3 linked regions of the Neodiprion lecontei genome follow. The protein of the gene in region 3 purifies or fractionates together with the protein of the main gene of each other region. This does not show direct contact. Links are inferred from orthologs where the notes say so. Each region holds a gene or a part of one and is shown on either strand. Other genes may lie near its edges.

Region 1 (3,719 bases), on a different chromosome or scaffold from region 3:
GTAAAGAATAATACATTTTAAATGATTTAGCCAATTTTTGATATCATGTCTGTAGTTAAGTGATAGAACAGTTTGAAATTGTGTAAGATACGAATTAGAAACAAATAATTCTTCAGTACAGTGTTCTAGTGCTCCTAATTTCTGTGAATATAACATACACGCACGTATTTAGAATTGCCTGGTTCAAGAAGTTTTGATAATATTTTTTCTACTCAAAAGTTGTTATAGATGTGAATTTCACCAGTCATAGATATTTATTCTGATTTCAGAATTTACAAAAATGAAGTTCCTCAACGTTGTATTTGTGTTGGCGGCAGCTTTGGTGCTGGCACTGGCGGGATGTGAAGCACAGAGGTTCGATTTTCACATTCCACCATTCAACCCAAAAGACAAAGTCAAGCTTCCTCCAATTAGATTTTAAGCCGTGCTGCAGTAGGATGAAATAATGTAATATGTGAAAAATACAATCGATCTTGTTTAAGAGTTTTCTGAAAACGTTACTTTCTTGTTTCTCTGTCACTATTGCAATTCTTAAGTATAGGAGAGAATCTAATCTTAATAATAATAAAAGAAGTACACGTAAATCTTATAGAAGTAATGTTATTTATTAAAAACTGTCATTCGTCATCCTGGCCAGCCTTCTGGAAAACTTTCTCTTACGTCGCTTCGTCTTGTAGTACCAAATTACTTGTACTCATCACAAAGCATGCCTCGGGCAACTGTAGTTGCTTCTGGTTTTCCTATCAAGGCTTCAACGATTGCCAATCCAAACAAGTATGCAGTCGAAGGTCCCTGGCTTGTGATGAAATTGCCTAAATCATAAGTAAAAATGCATCAATTTACTCTTTATGCATCAAGTTAGCAGTAGGTAATAAATAAGTTTGATGTTCATTGTGCAGTTTCTCACCATCAATCACCACCTTCTCATCTATATACGTATAGTCATCTTGTAACTGATCCTTCATCGATGGGTAGGCAGTGATTTTCTTGCCCTTGGCAAGTCCGTGGGCTTTCAATGCAGTTGGCGCTGCACAAATAGCTGCCACTAGTCGATTTTCACTCGCTTGTTTTTGGAGGATGGCGCCAACTTTGTCCGACTGTGATAAAAAGTACATTGTGTTCAGATAGCAGACAGAAATTTCAATTCAGGTAGGCAAGATTTAGAGGGTTTTTTTTCTTCCGTTTTAGGCTGAAACTATCCATGTATACCTGTAGGTAAACGGAATGTATACATGACCTTACTTTAGCCAAGGCTTGAGAGCCAGCAAGTCCACCGGGCATTATAACAACGTCGTAAGCTTTATCCTTGTGTTCATCCGTCAGTTGTTCATCGGGGCAAATTTTCACACCTCTGCTACATGTGACGACATTGCTGCCGTCGAGACTGGCTACAGTTACTGCAATCTGAAAAAAAATGGAGACGTAGTAATATCCATGCAGCTATTTTCTCATTTTTTCTAGCACTATAGAAGCTTAAAAACGTAGCTCAGGCACTCATCACATTGGTTTCTTTTTATATCATACTTGTCCCAGTTTAATCTTGGAATTTAAGGTTTGAGGTAGATCATTAAGAGGACGAAATATTAAAGTTAAAAAAAATAACAATACCGGTATATCGACGTAGAATCTTGTTGCATACTGTCAAAATAAATGTGCATTCGTACCCCAGCACGTCGAAGAACATCGATGGTGATAACCGCTTCCATTTCCTCCGCGCCTTCGGCCAGGAGTAAAATCGCTGTTTTTGGCATTTTAAATTAGATTTTTGATTCCTCTTCTCCGTGTACTTGTATTCTATACTCGGCTTTAATCTTTAATAGAATTCTAAGCCAAGGTCATCTACGCGCCGCACCGCAACAGCTGATCGCTTGACGAACGTAGAGCGTGAATATAATTGAGATTGTCACTTTGCAATGCGTCATCTAGTAGAAAAAAATCAAACTAATGCAACCAGGTAGCTGAGACATACTGCTGATCGTTGACCGTGTTTTTTCACGTGTGGATAGTAGAACACATATATTACTGGTCGTGTTTAATTAATTTATGTGATACGAGTAATTTCAAACCCCAAGAATTACGATTTGCCTCCATTAAAATTAAAAACTTTGGTTATGTGGTGATAAAATGGCGCTGATAACCAGGCTCTGACGTCATGTGGACAATTTCCAGTAGAAACAGGCGCGCAACGATTCGAGCGAGGATTCGAGAAGCGATTTGAAATACTCCCCGTGTTGCGCGCCGCAGCGCTGCTGCTCTGAAATGCTAAATAAACACGCTTCATAAATAATCAGGAGAATTCAAAAAGACTGGGGCGATTTATTTTAGGACAAAAGTACAAGGAGACGCGTGACGTTTGAAGTCCGTTCCAGGAATCCAGAAAGATACTCGTTGATTCCAAAAGACGTTCGTTGATTTTTGACTAATTAAATAAATACATGCATATTCGAAAGGGGAAACCGTAACAATATTTTGAAAAATGCTTCTGGTTTTTTTTCAGCCGGTTTCAAATGGCACCATTGAATACACTTACACCTTTCACAATTTTACCAGAATACAATTTTCTTTACATACACAATACAACTGATGAAAAAATTGAATTATTTCTACAATTACTTCATGATGATACGGGTTCATGATATATTGGTTCTAGCTAAAATATCGCCAAGTGTTTTCAAATCATTTTTCACCTGTGGCGTACCGCTTTTTAGAGCCATATAACTAGTGTCCGGAACCAATTAATATCACTTTAAGATCGACACTCTCTTAACTATTAAAACATTATACTTTCCTGGATATGCTTCCACCCTTAGTCTCGCCATGCATTTAATATCATATTCAATTTATCACGTGCAAGTCGTACCGATCCTACACTGCTAGTACGGAGTTAATTAGCTAGAAGCTTCTCTAGTTGCAACGAGCTCGAAGTTCTTTCTTTCATCTGTAATGGTCCGACTGGCTCTACCCTTCCGAATGATAATCACGTACCCAGTAACTCCTATACAAAGAATAGCCAACAAAATGTACAACTTTATGTTTGTGCATAAGTAGGGGCTGTAAGCATAGGCTAATACTGAACCGGTTGCTTCCCAAAGTCGGAAGTTTGAATAAGCAGCTTCTTCCTTGCCAGGGAAAAGAATGCCACTCAATGCTGAAAAAGAATAATAAGCGGTATTTCTTCATCCATAAATTAAGATGCGTAAAAATAATAAGATCCGGATAGCAAGTTAACTGATTCTAAATTTAACAAGTCAACTACAATTGTCACTCACCATTAACTTGAACAAGCCAAATAGCATCGCAGACTCCCCACAATCCCGACATCATAAAAAATATGATTCCCTGTTCCGGTGTCGGCTTCCAGAGCAATAGTGCTACTATTATTGCAACATGAAGAATGAATGCGAAAACCATTACCGGAGTTCGTCCAGTGAGTTTTACCACGGACCCCGTGCTTATAGCAGCAATCGCATTTGCCACTCCGTAGCAAATCATCACGTAACCGATATTACTAATACCCCATGCGCAGGAGACGAACGCCTGCGATTAGTAAATAATAAGCGGTTGTGAGTTGCTAGAAGTGGCAGGAAACAAGCAAATTTCATTGGCCATGTTCTCGACTCATTCCTTGGATTACTTACGGCGTTGAAATCGGCAAAAAGGAAAGCTTGCTCAGCCCCGATGAACAGTGTTATCGGTAAAATGAGCAGCTGTCTCTTTTC
Region 2 (3,719 bases), on a different chromosome or scaffold from region 3:
TCTCTCGTAAACACTATAAAATGTAGTAATCACGAAACATGTACTCATGATGTCAATTTTTGTTCCGGCGAAATACCCTTTGACGCAACCAATAATTATACTGTTCTAAGGAATGAATTTTTCGTCATATACATATGTATACAATTGTGATTCATAGAAAATACATTAGTATAAATCCCGCGACCAGACCTAAGTTTGATGATATAGACGAATTAGAGGTACGGAATATTATAATTATGTGGATAAATTAAGCAACCCAACATAAAATAAAGTTCGTAGAGTATAGCTTGAAATTACATGCCGACCCACAAACACGACTGCAAGCTGCAAAGCGGAACGTGCAGCCGGGCTTCTCGTTTCCCGGCATGCCCGGTGCGGGTAACGATGGGCGTGTCGTTTGGAGCTCTGTGCTCTCTGATTGGCCCGGCGGCCGTACCTGGCCGCCTAATAAATATGCTGCTTGAGAGAGCGCAGGTACAGTCGTCCTTCGATTCTCGACATCGACGCATAGGAGACAATGACGCCAAAGTCTAGCGGTAAAGCAGCGAAGAAAGCCGGTAAGGCTCAGAAGAATATATCGAAGGGTGACAAAAAGAAGAAGCGCAAGAGGAAGGAGAGCTACGCTATCTACATCTACAAAGTCCTGAAGCAGGTCCACCCAGACACTGGTATTTCGAGCAAAGCTATGAGCATCATGAACAGCTTTGTCAACGACATTTTCGAACGCATTGCCGCCGAATCGTCTCGTCTAGCTCATTACAACAAACGCTCGACGATCACATCTCGGGAGATTCAAACTGCTGTTCGCCTTCTGCTTCCTGGAGAACTTGCTAAGCACGCTGTCAGCGAGGGTACCAAAGCTGTCACCAAATACACCAGCTCGAAATAAGCGCGACTGCCTCAATTTGTTTACGAATCGGCCCTTTTCAGGGCCACTAATCATTGTAAACGCTAAAGAACGGTATTTCACAGATGTAACAGTCTGAAGTGTGTGAGGGGTAATTGTACAACCTTTTATGGCGAATTGTTTGACAATTTGGTGATCTCGTTATTTTTTTAATTGTCCAAATATCTGCATACCTTACTATCACGTCAAAATCTTTTCCCGCAATGTGTATGAAAAAGTTTCAGTATATTATACAGAATTCGGGCGCAATGCGTTGAATATCAGACAACTTCGTACGTGAATTATAGGCTCTGCAAACAGCTAATAATTATAAGATCGAATATTATCTAAGCAATAATTTTAAATTCATTCTGAGTCTTTTACCAAGCTGATATTGGCTTCATCAGTACTACATAATATTACGGATATTTAAATGCTCACATCGTGCGTCCTATTCAGATATATGTGTTCAACATTTAGCTTGCCTTCTGGAATAATAATTACCGAAAAGTGTCTGACGGGTTTGATATTAATCAAAACAAAAATCCACCTACACGTTTACTTTGAGCTGCAGGTATCCACGTGAGAAATAGATGGAAAATAGATGCACGCATGTACGGATATTATGTGCACTGGGTAGCGCGAGAGCTCTCAATCCCCTCCTGTGCTCTAAATTCTCTTGGCTGATAGAGAGGGGATGTCAAGTGGAGGGGACGACTGAGCCCAGGGCGGATTTCACCTTGTCGCTTATTGTGAAGGTCACGCTAGCAGGTATTTGGTTAAGTTCTCGCAGAGAGCAGAACAATTCGCAAGTATTCATCAGAGAATTGTCAGCAAGGCAGTCTGAGAATCATGGGTCGTAAATTTTTCGTTGGTGGTAACTGGAAGATGAATGGAGTGAAAAAGGAAATAGACGAAATCGTCGCATTTCTAAAGACCGGCCCCCTCGACCCGAATGTCGGTACGTGCAAGTTGCAATGTTACGTTTATTTCAAATAACCTACTGTGTATGTATTAACATTGCGTTTCTCCAAACAAATACAAACTAAATCTGTAGGCAAAAGCGTCGTCTCTGTTGCTGATGAAACAAAAATTGTACGTTAATACTATTTTATATTTCTCTTCTAGCACTTTCAAATTTTATTCAATATTTATTCGGAACTTTTATCTACGATTTACTCTTGTTGGGACATGACGATAAATCACTGTATTCTATCAAAGAGTCAAAATATCTTGTCACTAATTGCGTTATTAACTTTTTCAGAGGTCGTTGTTGGTGTACCTGCCATTTACCTGAACTATGCCAAGAGTATATTACCTGCCAACGTACAAGTCAGTGCACAGAACAGTTACAAGGTAGCTAAAGGTGCTTTTACTGGAGAAATTAGCCCTGCGATGCTTGTGGACAATGAGATCCCTTGGGTAATCCTAGGACACTCTGAACGTCGAAACGTGTTTGGCGAGTCAGATGAACTCATTTCTGAAAAGATTGCTCATGCCCTTGAAGCTGGTGTAAAGGTAAATCCTTTGGATTAAGTCTCAGTTCTCAATTTTTACATTGGATTGCTTTTTTTTTTTAATAAGAATATTTATACAATAGGTGTGTTGTAACTCGATATGACTCTTGACAGTATTGTATATATCTTATTTATTTTTCACCCTAAAGGTGATTGCCTGTATCGGAGAGAAACTGGACGAACGTGAAGCTGGAAAGACTGAAGAAGTTGTGTTCAGGCAGACTAAGGCGATTGCGGATAAAATCAAATCCTGGGACAATGTTGTACTCGCTTACGAACCTGTATGGGCCATCGGTACAGGAAAAACAGCAACGCCTCAACAAGCTCAGGAGGTGCATGACAAACTTAGGCAATGGTTATCAACGACTGTTAATCCTGCTGTCTCTGAATCTCTGAGGATTATTTACGGTGGTTCTGTGACAGCAGGAAACGCCAAAGAGCTAGCTAAGGAAAAAGATATCGATGGCTTTTTGGTCGGCGGTGCTTCTCTGAAGCCAGATTTCGTACAAATAGTTAACGCTAAGCAATAGACCTAAGTTGATAAGTTTATTGTGTTGGTTGTTACTACTATTAATAAATGTGATTATTGTTACTCTATGAACGAATGTATAATACATATATAGAAATTTACTCAGCGTTAGAGTAAATGGGTACAACAATAATACTAATAATTCAGTCATAAACATCTGGTTCAATTACTAAATATATTTATCATTTTGTTTATTGTATTAGTGAATATTATAAATTACGTTACATCAGCTTCTCATCAATACTATATTATTCTCTATAGCTTAAGTTCACTTCATTCTCTGAAGTTCACTTAAGCATTCCTCTTGTTATTACACCAGGTGGTGTTTTTACATACATCACATCATTAAGACCATCCTGCTTTCCTCTGGCAATTGCTAATTGAGTCAGTGACTTAAAACTTCTGGGTTCCCATATTGCCAGATCAACCAGAGTCTTTCTATCGATCAGAATATTGTTTCGCATCAACGCCTCTTTAAATGTCCGGAGATTTATATCATGCTCGGCACATGCAGCTGTGAGCCTTGTGTTCCAGAGCTGGAAAATTAATAGATCACAACATTGATAATATTGGTAAGATACATTTTGAAATTTTGCATGAAATATATGAACATTTGCTTGTATAGATTCCTGTTACAGTCGCAGACATATTCTTAATATGTGTCAAGGTGTCAGGTAGAATTTTATGTCTTCTACAAATGCTTAGGTTCTATCGAGTACTTACATTCAACATATCAGCTTTCTTGAGCTTCCTACTCATAGTAGCATAACGCAAAGCACGATGTACA
Region 3 (4,302 bases):
CACTGCCATTTGTGGAATTGGTACCGTAGACGCAGGACTCAGCTTCTGGTGCTACCATCAGTATTGTGGGCAGAAGGATAAAAGCCAGTATCAGCAGAAACAGCAGTACGTTTAAGAACATCAACCATTTTAAGAACAAAAAATATGCCACAATGCCTGTGCCAAAGTTTCCTTCAATTTTTTTCAAACTGTGGTGCCACAGTTCCATTTTCGAGTACGTCTCTTTCAACCGAACACGAAACTGCTGCCATACCTTTCTACGCTGCCATTTCAGCTGATCAAATCCTTGCAGTCGCAGTTTTGTCGCACTCTTTGAAAGAAAATAATGTTATATTAGTTACCGAATAGTTTACGTCTAATTAAACTTAGCAAAAAAGGATAATGGAAAAGCGAAGAGATTTATACCTGCAGCTGATGTTTCAGCTGTATTTTTTGAGCCATGCAAATCGGCATCGCCTTTATTTGCATTATTTCTTCCCAAATTCGTTCCTCATTGGACAAGTTTTCCGAGAGGTCAGGCAGCATCGCTACTGCGACATCGTGCACATTAGTAGACATACGTCGCACCGTACTTGCTCCACGGGATCGAGTGCTTGTTCTTCGTCTAAGCGTAGTTCGCGGCTCATTTCGAACACGCTTTGTAGTTGCTAAAACAGAGGAAATAATAGCATCTAGAAAATGAGTAAAAATGACAAACTGTCGGACGGAAAAGAGTATGACAATGATAAATTGTCTTACCGACACGGGTTTTTTTGCTCGGTAGTAACGTGGCTATGTGTGACGGATCTCTTTGCAGTGCCTGAAGGTCAGCTTCTATGGCCGCAGGATAGCTTTCTTGATAGAATTCTGCGCCAGCTTCTTCCCACCCTTGACCGCCTCCTCCGCCTCTCTTTTTTCGCTCACCGCCAGACATTTTGGTCTTGCAATTATTTGTCAGAAAGATTTACTAGACGCGGTATTCCTGTGTTTCAAAGGGTTACACAGCTGTTATGATCGGTGCGGAATATTTATCACCAGTGGCAAGATATGGTGCAGGGAACGAACTCGAGTTAATATTGTGAATAACACAGGAAATTGGACACCTTATTAACAGCTACAATACATCCGAACACGATAAATGAGAAGATATAATCAGACGTTGATCGGAAACGTACGGTACGTCCGCGTTTAACGAATTCTTTTAATCTGTGATAAGCGGTATCTTTTTAATCATTGTACCTATGAGTAATAACTGACTCGGAAACAACACATTTCACTTATCAAACCTCAATCTGGCTAAGTCCAAGATTGCCTCAGACACCGACGAGTTATACACAATTCATACGTGATCGCTGCGCATTTTCCATTTTAGTTGGAATTTACTGTTCCAGAGAGTCGGATTTCCCGATCTCCTTTTAAGGTATTTTTATAATTCTAAAACCCATTTTGGACCGAGAACAATGACCGTGTTTCTCTCATGAAACGGAGAAATAGATCGAATCGTATGATAAAAGTCTTGTCTAGGTCGAGCGAGGCTGAACCGTCAACACACTTGGGCATCGTCGCTTTAATTGTAAACGTCAAATTATTTTGGAGAGTGAGCTGCTTGATGGCTGAAAGGAAGAACACGAACCGAATGCTACCTACTCATCTCTGCTACGCGCAGAGCCCGAATCGCAAGGTGGCGTCATCTCTGAAATATCAATAAAATAAGGCGGGTGACGTTGCCTTGAGCTGGAAGCTAAGGGCTTTGATTATCCTACGCTACCGACCGAGCATACACGTACGGAGGTGGTATATCAGTACATTTTGTCTTTCTCGCTCTGCGCCGTGATTGGCTGAACTCGCTCTGCTAGCCAATCACGGTGCAGAGTGAGAGAGACAGCGTGTACTGAGATTTACCTCCATGCTATGAGCTCTATAATACTACATAGCGGGCGACTGTACCCCCATTGACCATAATATCGTTTCACACGGCACTCAGACATCACTTTGCATTCATGATTCAGCATTAGAACGCAAAATATCGGAAATCATTTCGAGTGGCCAGTTGTGTGACCAGTCGCGTTTGATCAACAGAGAGTGTTGTTACGTTCCATTTCTCCGCAACCGGTATCTCGTAATAATCCAAAATGACCGTGAAGGGGGTTTGCGTTCTCAACGGAGAAGTTAAGGGCACCTTATTCTTCGAACAGGCTGTAAGCTTAGGAAAAGATTTCTTTTACTTCTGTTTCTCATCGCCTCCTTGATACCCGCTCCTACCTCAATTCGTCATAATTGCTATTTCAGGGAGATTCTAGCCCCGTCAAAGTCACCGGAGAAGTGACTGGTTTAAAGCCTGGGCTACATGGCTTCCACATACACGAGTTCGGCGACAACACTAATGGTTTGTATTAAGAAAAATTGCAAAAATAAAAATATATCAAGGAAACTATTACCTTGTTGATATCAGCGAGAAATTACGTCGCTGATGTAGCACCATAATTTTAGATACTTCAAGTCTGACTTGCAACAAAAAATGCAATTTGACTTGGTGATCATAAGTCAAGGTTCACGGTCAACAGGCAAGGAATGAAAACTTATCTCCTTGTTATATAATCCAATACTGTCCATTAGCAATATTTGAATAGGTATCCTTGTGCTGAGTCACTCTTAACGTTATGTAATTAGACAGATTAATTTGATTACAAGTACGGATATTTTTACAAAAGATTTATGACTTGAACAATACTGACCTCGTCATTGAGAAAATTCACTGTATGAGGGATTGGTTCCTAATGACTTTACACTACATATCTAAAAATTATTCTCCATACTGTGCTATACTTTAAATTGCTGATGAATTATCACTTGTTGGGGTAACTTATCTATTTCGTAAGTCACTTCATACATTATTCAAGCTTATCTATGTATGGTATAATACAAATACTTTTTTAAGGATGCACCAGTGCTGGACCACACTTCAATCCGTTAAGTAAGGAGCATGGAGCTCCCACAGCTGAAATTCGTCATGTTGGTGACTTAGGAAACATTGAGGCTGGAAAGGATGGCGTTGCCAAGGTCAACATAACAGACAAGCTGATTCAGCTGCAGGGACCACACAACATCATTGGCAGAACAGTCGTGGTAAGTGACTGACTAAAATTATATATTTTTTTCCATGAAAGACAGATATATAGTCAGTCAAGGTGGCGAAAGACCAGGAAGCCTGGGAAAAATCAGGGAATTATGACGGACATTGAAGGTGCAAAATTTCTGGAGCTCTTGTTTGTAAAAGCCCAGCACTATAAGAAATTCTGAATTTTTTAACTAGAAAAGTCAAAAAATTGTATTTCAGGAAAATTGTCATCGCCCTGAGTACATATTATGTTAATAATGTGCTAAAAATTGTGGTGAATATCGCAGGTTCACGCAGATCCCGATGACTTGGGCCTAGGTGGGCACGAGCTGTCCAAAACAACTGGAAATGCGGGAGGTCGTTTGGCTTGCGGCGTTATCGGTATCACAAAGGCCTGACTGCGCAATAAAATCTAAAAAGCCATCGCAGATATATCGATACTGACACTTTATTCTTACTTTTATCTTGATTGTTATAATTACTATTAATACTGGTCTCTTGAACTTTCCAAAAGTTACTCGTCATTCCCTGTATGTACTATTAGCATAGATACATTGTTCTGAAGAAACCACCAACTATCTCGTTGTGCCTTGTGCCAGCGATACACATATATAATAAAATCTAATTAAAAATAATTTGGTCGCATTTCTTCAATTTTTTTCGAAACGGACATCACACCCAGTGAGTGAAATGATAATTATCACCAACGTTAAACTTTTATTTCGCATATTCGTTTTACAATTATCAATAATTAATCTTTTACGATACTGCTGTAGACTCACCTGACATTGTGAGGAAATTTTTATTGGTTCTTTGTAGAAATAACCACTTATTCATTCGATCAAGTGATTTCTCGATATATATAAATAATAACATGCGATGGTCTATACAATTTCATAAATATCCAACAATTATTATCATTCCATTTTAAAAACAAAAATATATATATTTATATATCATAGATTAAATAATCAGTTCTACTCTTCACTAAGAATAGAAGTTGAGAATTGCAAACACAAATTATCAGTCTTCGAAGCCTAATTCAGGGAAAATAGTAAGAACCATGCACCTCTATCATTTATCACTGTCGATTTTATATGTATACAATTTATTTTGGTAAATAAAACCTGCAGAATACGATGATTCATCACTACTGAGAAAGCAATCTGAAGATGAATATTAATACACAGAAAGTAATTTTCGAT

The links.
Region 1: the proteins of superoxide dismutase [Cu-Zn] (region 3) and protein dj-1beta purify together in Homo sapiens (affinity purification with mass spectrometry; 4 studies listed by BioGRID and IntAct, with this or other methods). This does not show direct contact. The link is inferred for Neodiprion lecontei from reciprocal best matches to the Homo sapiens genes SOD1 and PARK7.
Region 2: the proteins of superoxide dismutase [Cu-Zn] (region 3) and triosephosphate isomerase purify together in Homo sapiens (affinity purification with mass spectrometry; 3 studies listed by BioGRID, with this or other methods). This does not show direct contact. The link is inferred for Neodiprion lecontei from reciprocal best matches to the Homo sapiens genes SOD1 and TPI1.

What each region holds. Positions count from the first base shown.
Region 1 is NC_060264.1:28,362,828-28,366,546, forward strand, and holds protein dj-1beta, read right to left. Parts: upstream 1,964-3,719; 5' UTR 1,752-1,963; coding exon 1,665-1,751; intron 1,405-1,664; coding exon 1,243-1,404; intron 1,098-1,242; coding exon 908-1,097; intron 813-907; coding exon 685-812; 3' UTR 585-684; downstream 1-584. Other genes in the region: UNC93-like protein, read right to left, coding at 2,889-3,148, 3,270-3,537, 3,639-3,719. UniProt on the Homo sapiens protein: Multifunctional protein with controversial molecular function which plays an important role in cell protection against oxidative stress and cell death acting as oxidative stress sensor and redox-sensitive chaperone and protease.
Region 2 is NC_060263.1:38,379,527-38,383,245, forward strand, and holds triosephosphate isomerase, read left to right. Parts: upstream 1-1,616; 5' UTR 1,617-1,738; coding exon 1,739-1,847; intron 1,848-2,150; coding exon 2,151-2,404; intron 2,405-2,552; coding exon 2,553-2,933; 3' UTR 2,934-3,162; downstream 3,163-3,719. Other genes in the region: histone H2B-like, read left to right, coding at 518-889; 39S ribosomal protein L20, mitochondrial, read right to left, coding at 3,220-3,468, 3,656-3,719. UniProt on the Homo sapiens protein: Triosephosphate isomerase is an extremely efficient metabolic enzyme that catalyzes the interconversion between dihydroxyacetone phosphate (DHAP) and D-glyceraldehyde-3-phosphate (G3P) in glycolysis and gluconeogenesis.
Region 3 is NC_060266.1:24,806,363-24,810,664, forward strand, and holds superoxide dismutase [Cu-Zn], read left to right. Parts: upstream 1-1,948; 5' UTR 1,949-2,111; coding exon 2,112-2,177; intron 2,178-2,268; coding exon 2,269-2,365; intron 2,366-2,917; coding exon 2,918-3,105; intron 3,106-3,384; coding exon 3,385-3,495; 3' UTR 3,496-3,732; downstream 3,733-4,302. Other genes in the region: transmembrane channel-like protein 7, read right to left, coding at 1-310, 406-647, 739-913. UniProt on the Homo sapiens protein: Destroys radicals which are normally produced within the cells and which are toxic to biological systems.